2 linked regions of the Drosophila melanogaster genome follow. The gene in region 1 interacts genetically with each later gene. Each region holds a gene or a part of one and is shown on either strand. Other genes may lie near its edges.

Evidence for each region.
Region 2: of uif (region 1) and E(spl)m7-HLH, changing one suppresses a phenotype caused by changing the other (phenotypic suppression), as found in Drosophila melanogaster (one study listed by BioGRID).

The regions. Positions count from the first base shown.
Region 1 is NT_033779.5:7,004,778-7,014,307, reverse strand, and holds the start of uif (uninflatable), read left to right. Parts: upstream 1-3,948; 5' UTR 3,949-4,015; intron 4,016-4,398; exon of another isoform or gene 4,399-4,435; intron 4,436-5,658; exon of another isoform or gene 5,659-5,661; 5' UTR 5,662-5,908; intron 5,909-9,530. Other genes in the region: CG43322 (uncharacterized protein), read right to left, coding at 1-655, 726-812; CG43321 (uncharacterized protein), read right to left, coding at 1,784-1,981.
Region 2 is NT_033777.3:26,034,746-26,039,708, forward strand, and holds E(spl)m7-HLH (enhancer of split m7, helix-loop-helix), read left to right. Parts: upstream 1-2,292; 5' UTR 2,293-2,417; coding exon 2,418-2,978; 3' UTR 2,979-3,274; downstream 3,275-4,963. UniProt on the Drosophila melanogaster protein: Participates in the control of cell fate choice by uncommitted neuroectodermal cells in the embryo. Transcriptional repressor. Binds DNA on N-box motifs: 5'-CACNAG-3'.

The sequences.
Region 1 (9,530 bases):
GAGCAATCGCATCGCGAATATCCTTGCCCAGGCTTATCCATTCCGGCGTGAAGCCGTTGTCTAACATAATCTTGTTCAACTTGTGGGTCGTAAAGTCCAGATAGGGATTCTGCGACTGAGCCGAGGACAGGGGCTTTCCAGACCCGTTTAGATTGTTAAAGTCACCCTTGGACATGGCCTCCTGAATGAGATCCTCGACCACACGATCAATACCGTACTTGGTCTTAATAGCATGTTTCCGAAAGTGGCTGCCGCCCTTGGACATTAGTGTTTTCTCTCCGGCAGCCGCCTTGTCGATGCGGTGCTCCAGGACGCGTTCCTGAGCCTTCATGGCGCGCACCTGCTGGTACTGCTTTTGCCGCTGAAATGGAGTTCCCACTCCGATGCCCTCGTTGGACAGATATTGCCGGTGCTGCGGCGCCGTATGCTTGATGTCAAACTCCATGGCCCCCTCCTCGTCCTCCTGAATGTTTCGCCTTCCCTTGGCGAACTTTTCCTGCAGCACACGGAAAGCCTCGTCCACCTGCTGGAAGCGTTCGGCACTGGCCTCCTCCGTTCCCGAATCGGGATGCACCCGTTTCACCAGATCCAAGTAGGCGTGGCGTACCGTATTCTGATCAGCTGATTCGTGAACGCCCAGGATGCGGAAGCATTCCTAAAGATAGCAGGTGCAATATTGCATAATGGTTCGAAATGCTAGAAATCTTGAGACAACTTGTACTCACCATATAAACCTCCTTGCGCTTGAGATGCAGCAAGCGACCGAATCTGATTGCTACGGATCCTTTGAACAGATTCCCAGCCAACCACATTTTTACTACACTTTATGGAGTTATTTTCTAAACAATTTTCGAGCTACGCTGTCTGACATTAAAGGAAATTCTACAACCTAAACCATTTGTTTATGTTTTTCGTGCGATCAGCTGTTGATAATAGTTGTTTTGTTTTGTAGGTGTAGGTGTAGTATAAAAATACTGCAAGACATTTTTAGTATTTTAGCCGTTATAGTCACTCCAGGGATGCATCAAATTTAATTATTTGAATTATGCCAAACGTTATGTTTTTTGAGATCATAATATTTGAGAACCAAGAAATATTTAAAAGTAAGAATGGCAAAATAAAAATATAAGCTAGGTGTACGAGTACTGATAAATGTGTGCACATATTTAGCATGTTAGTATACGAAATTTGTTAAATGTATGCGTGCTTGTTCTAAATGAAAGTCTAACCCAAATCTAAAGAAGCAAATTTCCACACTTACTAGTTGCAATTAAAGCCTGGCGATGACCAAATCTGCGGGCGAGCAACGCTCATCTGCAATTCAAACTACAATTCATGCTCTACATAGACTGGAAACTCGCGTTTGTTCTAGGTAATTGTGTCATAATTAAAAATTATTTAATTGCGCGACCTACACTAAAAAATCTTGAATTATAAAATATAAAGCTGACGTTGGGTAAGATGCTTAATATGAAATGGACACCTTCCCTAGAAAGAAACCATTCTAAATACATGAATGAAAAGGCACATTTATTGTTAAAAACTTGTTTGATTTTGAGCTCTTTGCACTAATTATGATTCAATTGATCTGTGCACTTATTACCCTGCTTTGAATTTGGTTACCGGTCTGGGCAGTTGTTTGCGTTGAGTTTTCTTTCCTAGCATCCCGTTTGGCCTGTTTGGATTGGCACATTAGCATATATCCAAACAGGATATGCACAAGTTTGCTCCAAATTCATTTGGTTCACCATGTAGAAGTTCCATATGCGCCATGGTTGTTATATTAATCATCTTCCGAGACATCGGGCGCATAAAGATCAAATACTTCGAGGAATTGGGCCAATTTCTTGCCCATAAATCCGCCCAATATAATGCCGGGTATAACTGTGATGAAAACAGCGATGTACTTGTATTTATTGTTCTCCTTTCGAATTTTATTTATTTCTTTAAAGTCCTTGAAGTTGTCTCCACGAAATGGCATTTTTGTGTTTTTATTTCGGTAACTGATTTTAGTGTGTGTTCGGAAATGGAATACGACATTATTCTGATAGAAATTTCAAGACTTTCTCCGGCCAAATTGGGACAGGCACGCCCCAGAACCTAAACGCGGATCCAAAACCCTCATCGGAATATTTGAGTGTGCGCCCTATATGGAACTTCCGTTCTGCTGGCTCAAACGACTGATTTTGTCAACCGTCTGATCGTCCCTCTTCAATTGGCTTGCAATTGTCTACATTTCCGTCTAAGGAAGGGTATTGCCTTTTATTTTAATATTCGACCTGCAGCAGTGTTGTGTTTGTTTGTTGATTAACGGAGCGTAGAATAAAAGGTGTCATTTGGAAAGAATTTGTGTTTTCAAAAGGAATTGTAAAACTAAACAAGTTTTAAATGTAATTAGATAGTTCCCTTTATTCATATTCCCTTAACTAATGCTTTAGCATTAGGAAAACTAAATTTCCTTTTCTACTTCCTAAGAAGTCAAGACACATTTTAATTGCACCGAAATAATAATCATGACCTGTTTTTGAGAAGGAAGTAAAAACTTATTCGAAAATGGATAGATGGGAGTCTAATGATCGCGTGTACCCTATAATTAAATTGTTTTATTCCAGTGGATGTGTAAATTGGATCGATTTATCTGCTTTATATTTCTACTGGAAGCAGTGCATTATTTATCATCATTTTCGTTTTATCTGTTTACAAGCATTTATTTTTAATTTGAAAAGAAAGGAAGTGAAAAGCTTAATAAATCATTCTTGTTAAAGGAATGATAAACTAAAATTAATTAACTCTAAATTCGGCTATTCTCATCGGCTAAGTTAATTGGTTTTAACCAGGTCCAAGTGCAAACAATGGTATTTAGTTAAGATTGAGTTAACATTGAATAATCATTTACATACCACAAATATAGAATTGATTTTTTGTCTAAGAATCCCAGCTGACTTTTCATTGATGGTTTCTCACTGTTATCAAAATTTTTCTTAAGCCCCTTCAATTTGCCTTTTTGGACTCTTCATCCACACAGAGATAAAGTGTTCCTTAATAGAAATCCTTCGGGTTGGGAAATCCCACCATAAATAGTAATTGTTGTGCGCAATTCTATAGAATTCCTAAGAAACGAGTGCGAAATTCCTTTTAGCGACGGATGTGACGTAAGGTTACATATACGAACAAAATATAAAAAGGCATAAGATCTTCTAATGGCCATCGATACTAAAAACAATGAATATCCTTGAAGCACTTTGAAAACTATACACACAAAAAAGGATAACTTGCGGGAGAAATTTTAGAAGTTATTTAAAAGAGAAGATAATCTTGATTTGAAAAAGTACCTGCAATAACCCTAACTATTAAATGAGTAGTTTTTGTTGATCATTTGTAGATTCCATTTCCGTTTAGCATTTCGCACGTTTTGCACAGTTTATGACTTCATAAAAAAAATAATGGGACAAGAGAGAGCAGTGTGTAACCAAACAGAGGCAGCAAGAAGTGCCAAAGGATTCCAAGGGCCAAGTGTAACAATCCCACTTTTATGGTGCTCTCTACTTTGTTAGCCAACCCTTTTAGCAAGTTCGTTGCTTGAGTCTTTCGTTCGGCCACCGCTTCCGTTGCGTGCGAATGTTTGAAAACAGCAAGCAACCCAAAATCAAGGGAGGGTAAAAACCCACCTCCGACTTCACATGTCCTCGGCAATTAAACGAAATTTCCCAAGAAACAAGGACGCCGCAGCTAATCCCGTCTAGGCGGTGTAGCCCACGCATTTGGCCAACATCGGTTAGGTAGCGTTTGTGCGGCGAATTCGCAGTGCCGGCTGAGATTACCGAGCCATCATTTCGGCCGAATTCGACGGCGGCGAATAACGATCGGTATGCCGGTTGTTTTTTCGCCGACCGATAACCATAGAAATGTGAAAAAAACCTAAGAAATACGAAGCTTTTCGGGGCTTCAGTATGCCTTCGACTGTGGCGCGTTGTGGACGTTAAGAGGCTGCGGCGAACCCGAACTCTAGACAAGTGTATGTATCGATTCGACTGGGTTTTCTTCAGTACGGCAGTGAGTGAGTGAGTGAGTAAGTGTGAGCGAACGAAAGCCGTTAAGAAGTCTGGCGAGATGAGGCTAGATATACATATACAGTGAGCCATAGGAAAATCTGTAAAACGGGCACGTTAAGCTGTTTTATTTTCCTCGCCTCGCAGTCTTACGTTTCTACCTATTGCCGATCGCCTCTACCTCTCTTCTCTACCTTTTTTTCTGCTTTCTGGCCCGCTCTTCGCCAGTTTCTTACCATTTTTGCTGTCGTGTCTTGTGGTCTTTGGGCGAGTGTAGACGAGTGTGTGTATGTGTGTGTGCGTGGACTGAAACTTCAGGTGCAGACCGCGTTGATTTGCTGAACAAGTTTCAGTCTGAGTTTGGCCTTCGTGTGGTACAGTACATGGTACAGTAAGCGCTCCCCGGATCTGCAGATCTCTTTGTGTCCTATAACAATAAGTGCTTGTGCATTTTGTGAATGTATTTGCCTCGAAACTGGATTTTATTCGATTGTTTTGCCCAGCAAAGTGTTTGATTTTGTGCCTGTGTTCGTTGTACGCTGGCTAGCGAAAAAGGATTTCTGTGCATTTTAATGGAGGCGCGTGCTTGGATCGTGTGTGCTCTATGAGGAAACTGACCATTAAATGCGAAGCAGCAAAAAACAAGAGGAATTTTAAATTGAAAAAAAAAAAAGTGTAATAGATTAACTGCAACACAGAGGACAATACTACGAAATCAGTGAATATATAACTAACATTAAATGCAAGAGTGGTAGAGATACGACAAATTAATGCGAGAATTTCTTTAGCTATTTTATCAAATGAAGGATAGGAAGTCAGCAGTAGTCCGCTATAATAATTTTATGTTGTTTTTAGCCGAGTTGTTGAACTTCTAGTATAATTTGTTCTCCCTGTTTTCTTTGCCAGCCGTTCGGTTTTTACCAGTCCATTAACTTGTCTGTGCCTTTTGCACTTTACTTTGCCAACTGACATTAGACTACTTGTGTGAGTAAGTAGTCCATCCATCGGGAGTAACACACTCGGGTACTCACTTCACATGCCAGCTGCGCATTTACGCTCCCATTAACCGGGTAGAAATAACAAACTTACGGAAAAAGAAGCCACAACTGCTACCAGAAACTGGCCAACAAGTGTTTTGCACAATGGCCAAAAGAAACAACCACAAAAACTAAACAGAAAAAAATATATAGAATGCAGTTTTGGGGTTAAAGTGAAACCAACAACATTTTTGACTTACAAAAAGTTCGTGTCTTAAGTCATTTGTTTGGTTGTCCAATCGTAGAGACCCAAAATCTCAATAGGAATACTTCTTGGACTATCCTCACCAGATTTTCACCTAATTAACATAAATATTTCTTCGAACATTTTTGTGAACTCAATCCCAAAATGTTCCCAACACATTTCGAAGACGTGCTGCGACTTCAGACGAGAATTCTTGGACTTACTTGTTTCGGATCTCTGCCACGGCATGCATAATTAAACAGACCCATCCCCATTAGACAAACTATAGATAGTCAGGCTATCCGATCATAAATTACATTTATGTGACGCGTTTTCGTTTAGCTCAGCTTTTATTTTAAAACTTTTAATCAACTTAAATATCTACCAGCAGTGCAACACTGGCCTTGTACATTTAAAAGTTTAAATAAATAAAAAGAAAACCGCACCAATAAGTTGCCATAAAAAACACTGACACCGCCGTCGTCGCGAAAGGGAAAGAAACCGTCGTTATTGTCGCTTTTGTTGACCTCAAGGATAACCAGCTGACATGCCACATAAATTGGAATACTAGCAGTCGCGAACGATACGTATCGAACATATATAGTGGTTATATACAGCTAAAGCTGCATTTATAAGAGGTGAGTTGCATATTGAAATGGCAGCGAATGAGTCGGAAAAGAGTGGCAAAGTAAAAAGTGTAGAGTGGAAATGCGGGTTGGATTGAATACTAAGTATAAGTATTAGTCTACCAATGACGTTATATTCTTCTGCTTTTAAGCTGACATCATTGCATACCATCACTCTATAATACCTCATAACTATCAATCAGTAAGCCAAATGAATTAAAAGCCAATCTCAAGACACGCCTTATTTTGGCTTCAGTCATTGCGCAAAAATCCGATTAATTATGCATATGTCTACATACAAATTAAGCCATAAACAATGCCATGCTTTCGTTTTATCCAACGATTTGCAATGAAACTTCGTTTTAATTGTGTTTAAATAATTGATTGATTCCCATTGATTGAGCAAACAATTGGCGTATCGAGAGTGGTTATGCTGTATTCCATATAAAGCCTCCCATATGGATTCCCACTTATCCACAAAAAGTAGCACACCCGAACAACAATAAGAACAATTTCTGTTACTTTCTATTAAACAAAACCTAAAAAATGCTTCGATTGTCTGCCGGCCGTGTCTGACTCGCCTTTGTTGTCACATTCATTCAATAAAGGCCAAGTCGGCTTCCCTATACCCGTACCCATACCCATACCCATACCCGTACCCCCAAAACTCCATCGAAAAGTCGAAAAGCGAGAGCTACCCAAACAGTTAACCTCAATTTCAAGACGCACTCGGCGCGCTGTTGTTGTTGTTGCTTAATAACAGAAACCGAAACAAACCATAGAAGTAGTAGAAAATTTCACTCAGACCAAAGTGAAAAGCAGAACAAATGCAAAAAGCCCTCATCACACTTGTAAACAAGCCACAAAAATTCGGTGTTTGCTTTTTATATCGTAGCTCATTTTTTTTGGCAAAGCTATTTGGCAAATATAAATAAACTGGTTGCTTTATGGAAATTGCCATGCCATGATTAGGGATTCTCTCCGGAGATGAGTTCTACTTAAGTCATTTTCATAACTTGGCAAAAGGTATCGGAACAAGTAAAACTTGTTTTAGCGCGTGCTTTATGCCTTAGTCGCTATGGCTTAGTCATAATTTGTATATTGGTATTTGGCTCACAGCATACAAGCGGAAGTTGTGGCTAAAATGTGTGTTAAGAGTTTAATAGGGATTGCAAGCAAGAGAAGTGAATGCAAGTTTGTTGCCTAAGTCTTTTGATTTGTGTGGGCTTCGCTGGAAAACTTTTGCTACAAAATCGTGAATGGAGTTGGAAAGTTATTTTGTGACTCCGATTTTTTTAAAGTCTTGCTCGTGAAAATTTAATTCAAATTAATTTTTTACCTAACAAAGGTTTCGGTTTCACTTGTATGATCTAATCCACCATTTCGCAGGAAACAATCCCCGAAAGAAACGCCACAAAGTCATCTATTATTTGGGCTATGACGAGTTCAGCATTAGATTCTTCGACCTTTTCTCGAAGTTTGATAATTGGCAGCTGATGCCAATGTATCGGCAGGTAGATACACACAAACACACCCTAAAAAACGAGCAATAACAAAGGGTACGTCCAGAATTTAATTCACAGCAATACCAGGTAAAGACCCATCTTCAAATCCCTACTGAAAGTGCGAGAAGTCAGTTGAAATTAGTGGAATGAAATGTATTATGGGTCTAGTTTATTAGGACTGATGGGTCCTACGCATGGTTCACATGAATGACAAATCTCTTGCCGCATATCAAGTGTCAGTTGGCCATTAAAAGAATGGAATGCCAGGGCGTTGTCGGCGTTAGTCTTAAGAGAGATCCATCCATCAGCGGTCTGATCTGGACCAAGATCTTTTCCGACATGCTAGTAAATTATTATAAAGAGAGAGATAGAGATGGCTATTTGCTGCATGTCTGGCGTCCATCAAATCATTAAATAATTATAGCCATTTGATTGGGTTAATAATTTTCAAATCATCAACTCTTTCCCGGCAACGAAAGTTTTCGAAACTGTGGATCTTGATTTTCAATTTTTGTTTATATTGGGATTCTCAACTTCCGTCTCGGCGGCAGTGAAAGTGCCTTCAAATGCCAAACTCATTCTAAAAGCGAATTAATGGTCATTGCAGCGCTCTCTATTTCTTCGCGGCAAAAAGCAGCTTAATCATGTTGAAAAGCTGTTGACAATTTCATAAGTTTTCCAAGGTGGGCGCTTTCTCGGCGCCATCAGCCATTGCTCGTCGATTAGTTACAATTGCCACAAATTTTCTTTATTTCTCCAACTCCATCGCCATCGCCAGCTTCATGTTGTGTGCGTTTTCTGTTTTCTTCTTATGTTTTTAATTGTGAGAATTGTGTGGAAAAGTGGAGCTCACTCGCCGGGAAAAGCGAGTCAAAACAAAAACACATTTGACGCTGTCATTGTCGACAATTGTTCAAAATGGAAAAATGGTGATCGGGCTTAGTGAGGTGAGCTGGAACTGTGGAAATGCCCAGCGGAGCTGCGTTCGTAATCCAGCCAAGTTATCAACTTCCATCTAAGCGCTTGCGATTCTCCCAAGCTCCTCCTCCATTCACTTTCGGACTATCTGCGTTTTTAAGCTGCCGAATCTTCAAAATATAATTCACATGACCGCCTCACACCGCATACACACACACACCCATCCCAACACAATGATCCCCCCCAACTGACTCTTGGCCAGACTTTTGGTCTGACTTTTGACTCGGTGTGCATACTTCTCGTAACCTGTTTTTTTTTTAACTTGGACGCTCTTGCCTTTTTGGCTGCATTCTTGACGGCTGTGCGTCTTCGAGTCACGCAGCTCACGTCTTCGGTTTCAAAAAGTCGCTAACCAAAAAACAGAATTAAGATACTGATACTGAGCCCGCGAGGGTCTTTGTGTGCGATAGTGATACTCTGGGGGAAGATATCTAGAGGATCTGTTGACTTGGCCTTAATTGGAAGATATATTTATTCATTTTAAAATATTTGAAGTAAATAAATGTTCTAAAAATATGAGATACAAATTGGAATCTTTACTTGTTTATGTTTCCATGCATATTTTGCTTATTTTTATTCCCATGACTTAAATACTTATTTACTGTTTTGATAGCACTTCAAGATATCATGGGTGTGCCATCATTCCTTGCAGGTTTTTATTTTTATTTAAAACCAACCATTGCTTTCTGTTTGACAATCCGCTGACTTCATTTTGGCACTCAAGTTGGTGGGTGTATTTAATTGAGTTTTTCTGCCGAGGTGCGGCCCATTGCACCATTTCACCATTGGGACTCAGTCATTTGGATTCAGTTACAAAACCATCAGCTTGCGGCAATGGAAAACAAACTTTTCCTTGTCTATTCACAAATTAAATATTAATTGCGCTCATCACCCACTTCGAAGCCCCGCAGCGCTTCTTGGCGCTCTTTTTTTTTCCAGCTTGTGAAAGTGTTGGCCAGTGGAAATCACTTGACCATTTTGTGAACAGCTTTCGACGGCTTCGGCTGTACATGAAAACAAATGAATGTTTTGCTGCCGAAGTTGCTGTTGGCGGTATACGCGGATAGTGAAAAGTTTCAGTTGCCTGGTTTTAGTCGAGAAAAAGCGTCTCGATGGGAAAACTAAACATGTTTATGAATTTTGCTTGGCTA
Region 2 (4,963 bases), on another chromosome or scaffold:
GCCAGCAACGTCGGTTGCCCAGCAGCAGCAGCGATTATAGCGATGCATTGACAATAAGCCAACCCCGATGCGTGCCCAAATGGTTGCCCCTACTTAATAAAAAGTGGAAAAAACAACAACAAAAGCCCGGAGCTGGCCATGTGCAGCTCGAGAAATTTTCTCACAGTCGCCAGAAAAATTGTAACGGCCCGTTGTTCAGCACACTCTCAGCACGCAGTGCACTGCACACACACACTTCCTGCCGCAGCCAGCGTTCCTCAAACCGGCCACGTATATTGTTTATATAGTTAACGAATGCGATACATTTAATCTTTAGTGTGTGTCAATTTGCCGTACAGTCATTTAGTTTGCATGTCCCTCGTCGATCCATCGAACAATCATCCCTTTTTCTGGGACCTGGGTCCCACGATGATGATGTCCCGACGTGAGCAGGAATACCATACGCGTATATGTATGCCACTTAGCGATGGACGATCCCAACCGATGCCATCCGAAACGAAACCCAGGGCCCAAGTGTTCAACAGAAGCTACAATTCAGCATTCATAATTGACAAGAGCAGGAGCGAGGGAGAGGGCGATATGTGTAGGGCCCACGATGGACAAGAAAAAATTAAATAAAATAAAGGGCAGGTGGTAGTTTTTTCAGCACTACCCGTGACTCGCACTAGCAGCTCGGTCAGATTTACAGTGGTTCGAATGGAACGAAAATTGGTTGAAAACAATTTAGGGTCTTGTCACAATCTTTAGATGCTTTTAGCTACAAACTACAAAATGGTTTCTTTTTTTAGAAATTTTTTAAACATCATAACCTGACAAGAACATCTTTTCCAAATATTTCTTTATTTCACCCATCTGGGTACAGTAATCCCATACATAGATATTCTGTAAACTGCAACCTTCACGAACCTTAATGTTTTTCAAGACTCAGGTTCCCACTCACCGTCGCAGCTAACAAAATTATCCGTAGCAAGTAGAAAACACCTTTCACAAAAGTCCCTATACTCGGACTATATATGCCTAGAAAAACCTCTAGGAACAAATGTACCTTTCCAACATAGCAGATAGTTTAGTAAAAATTCTTTACAAGTAGAAACACATCGAGAAATCCATAAACACTTACTCTAAAACCTGCAAGTCGTAAAATTGCACGCATGTTCCGTTTGGTAAAACCCCAAAAATCACATTCGAAAACTCACATTCCCACGACTTTGAATAGAGGTTCTCAAATTAACCGTAGCAAGTTGAGAACAGGCAACAAAAAATCCGTAAGATACTGATTTCCAAACCTGCGAGTCCCAAAATTGCACACATCTTCGCCTTGGAAAACCCCATTTCCGACATCCCAAAACTCGCATTCCCACGATCCCTACAGAAATTGCTAAAACTTTGTCTAGCAAGTAGATAACAGTATGCGTAAATTCCGTAAACCTTAAATTTCACGTAGTTGGAAAAGCCTTGAAGAATTCATTCAAGCAAGGCACCCTCAAAATTCCCGCATGTGTTTCATCGGTTTGGCCCACTGTGCCATGTGCATAAGGGCTCGGAACTCGGAGCTCGGACTCGGGACTCGCACACGGGCTACCTCCGATTATAACTTATAACACCAACGAGCGAGAAAAATCTTGTGGGAAACTTGAGGGCAAAGTGTTTCCCACGATTCGAATGTCAGTGGAAAGGAAAACAGAGAAGCAGCATGTGCAACCACCGTCGCACCACCACCACTGCACTATCGCATCTTCATCCCCTGCCGAGACTCACTTACACCGAACACCAGTGGCCATAGCAATAGTACTGAGAACATATTTAAAGTTCTAGATAATGTTTATATTTTCAAAATCACTACTATTAAGAAGTGTGCTAATTTAATTTTTTAGGTGTAAACGTATAACATTATGTTAATTTCTTTTTGTTTAATAAAACGACATTTAAGTGCTTTAAGGGAAACCCATTTGAAGTAATTGTTAAAAACGTAACGTACTTCTTAGGTATATAACAACAAATTTGTATATTCGCTCGAAGAACTATAGCTGCTTTAAACACATTTCTCATACTATTTTTACCGCAGGTGTGTTCCAAACTTGTTTGTGGAGAAAAACCCACCACCGAAAATGCAGGCGAGAGGATCGTGTCCCAGTGACTGAGTAAAAGTAGTTTGCTCCGCAGGTGGTGGTTCTTCGGAGGCTCCGCAGCTCTCTCTTCTCTCTTTCTCCGAGCAGCGTGCGCTGAGCACGAGACGCTCTCGCGGCGGCACGTGCAGCTATAAAAGCAGCGGTAACCGGAGACGAATGCAACATTTCGAACGCAATCGTCGTGCAGTCAACATCTCAGGATAACCTCCTCCGAAAGATCGAAGAAGTTCTTCAACAAGTCGTTCTTCCATTTACCTAAACGCAACAAATAAACAAAACAAACACACAATGGCCACCAAATACGAGATGTCGAAAACCTATCAGTACCGCAAGGTGATGAAGCCCTTGCTGGAGCGGAAGCGTCGTGCCAGGATCAACAAGTGCCTGGACGAGCTCAAGGATCTGATGGCCGAGTGCGTTGCTCAGACTGGCGATGCCAAATTCGAGAAGGCCGACATCCTGGAAGTCACCGTGCAGCATCTCCGCAAGCTGAAAGAGTCTAAGAAGCATGTTCCGGCCAATCCCGAACAGAGTTTCCGTGCTGGATACATCCGGGCAGCCAACGAAGTGTCCCGCGCCCTGGCCTCCCTTCCCCGAGTGGATGTGGCTTTTGGAACCACACTGATGACCCATCTGGGCATGCGTCTCAACCAACTGGAGCAGCCCATGGAACAACCGCAAGCCGTCAACACTCCACTCAGTATCGTCTGTGGATCCAGCTCTAGCTCCAGCACCTACTCCAGTGCCAGCTCCTGCTCCTCCATCAGTCCCGTTTCCAGTGGATATGCCAGCGACAACGAGTCTCTGCTCCAGATCAGCAGCCCCGGACAGGTGTGGCGTCCCTGGTAAACAAAGATCTACTTGGAAGGACTGAATTCCCGACGGGCAATCACGCAATTGGAACCGCAGCTTTAGAAAAAATGCTTTACAATGATCCTCATTTATTTGTTACGTTACCAAGTTTTAGGTTTCTAAGTTAAGTCTGTGATAGGGCACGCTTTATTAACTTTTGTCTTAAATCAATCGAGCAGAAGTCTGTTTTTTACTCTACATATATACAAATGTTTACCAGCTAAGAGATCTCAAGAACACAATATGAAAAGATACAAAATGAAAAACTTAAATACAAATCAAAATATGAAATGAAATTATACAAGAATCTTATTATTTGGGGAATCTATTTTACAGCACAATCCAATAGGGGATATTGAACTTCAGTATTTGTCTTTAAATTCCAATAGGAAGAAGATTCCATTGAAAATATTTAATGTTGGTATGCGCGAACTTTAAGGTCCAATATAATAAAACGATCGTGTGCACTAGCTTATTTAGGACACGTGTAAAAAAATGGACTTCCCATAAATTATGTTCATTATCTTAAAGCCCATCATTATCCTAAACGAGCTATATTAATAACAAGTTTCAATAACAGTTAAACATAATAGCAAAACATGCTCCACTAATGTGCACTTAGTTGTCAAGCATGCATTTAATAATAAAAAGGAATTTAATTTCATATTTTTAATGGTCGTTATTTTTCATTTGCACGATGTGTTTACTTATATTCTATTTCAGTAACTATTTTGTCAACAGACTATGAAATGAAAGTATTTGACATCCTTTAGCACAATACAATACATTGTTATAAACCTTAAATGCGGCATTATAATTTTTCCACCAATAAAAGGTCAATAAGAATGGTCAAGAAACATACAAATGAGTTTCAGCACGCGTCTCGATTACTTATCACACATTATACCCTATTATATTTAATCCCTTAAAATTTATTCTTTTACAATTAATCAATTAAATTACATCACATATTGAGGGTTGCAATAGCATTACGTAAAATCATAGGTAAGTGTATTCAATTCCAAATTCATACCACATTATTAACCTCTGACACCCAAAATACTATAAGAAGTGAGAGTATCCCTCCCCATTACAATAATCAATGACGTTGTTTTCCACCCATAAAATGTCAATATTAAGAACCCTCAAGATTTGTAAGGGAGATATACAAATCCATCTCAATTATTAAGTGAGGAAGTAGCATACCCTAGGCGGTTGCAAGGGAGGGACACAAATCCCATAGGTAGGCATCGATGTCAGAGGTCGATTAGTTTCCTAATAGAAACAGAGTTTATAAAAGTTAACTCGAAAGTGAAATTTACTCAATGGAATTCTAATACACCATACTTGCATGCGAAACCCAAGATTCCGAAACCAAAAGCACTTAATATTAGCTAATTAAAAATGGGTTTAGAAAGATACGCCAGACATTATAAGTTCCTATTAACTAAATTCAAAGAAAACTTTTGTATCCTATGATTACTTTAACAATCTTATTAGGATGAGCCACACATTGAACAAACCACATTTACCATAAGACAAGATATTTGAAAAGTGCACATCAATTAACCGGTGAAAAATTACTAATTACCAATTAGGGGGTTGCAGGAAGTTAACTATGTGCATCCCATAGGTAGACATTCCGGCACAAGGCCCACCTCACCTCAGCCTGGGCATTGAGTACTCAACCTCGGCCACGAGTGTGGCACGCGGGGCACACTTTCTGCGCCCGTTTGACCCACGTCCCCCTGCCAACCACCCAAAAACCCGAGATCAGACAGCCCAAACGATGGAACGATCGAACAACCAAGGCGACCCGGCACGAAGCCAATATGCCACATCCACTAATTGTGTCCAATAAACACTCGTCGACGGGGCACTGTGGGAACGGAAAGAGGAGATCTCAGAGTTCGCAGTTCGGAGGTCGGAGCAGGAGTAGGGGCTTATACAATCATCGTCTGCTGGCATTGATGAAACAATAA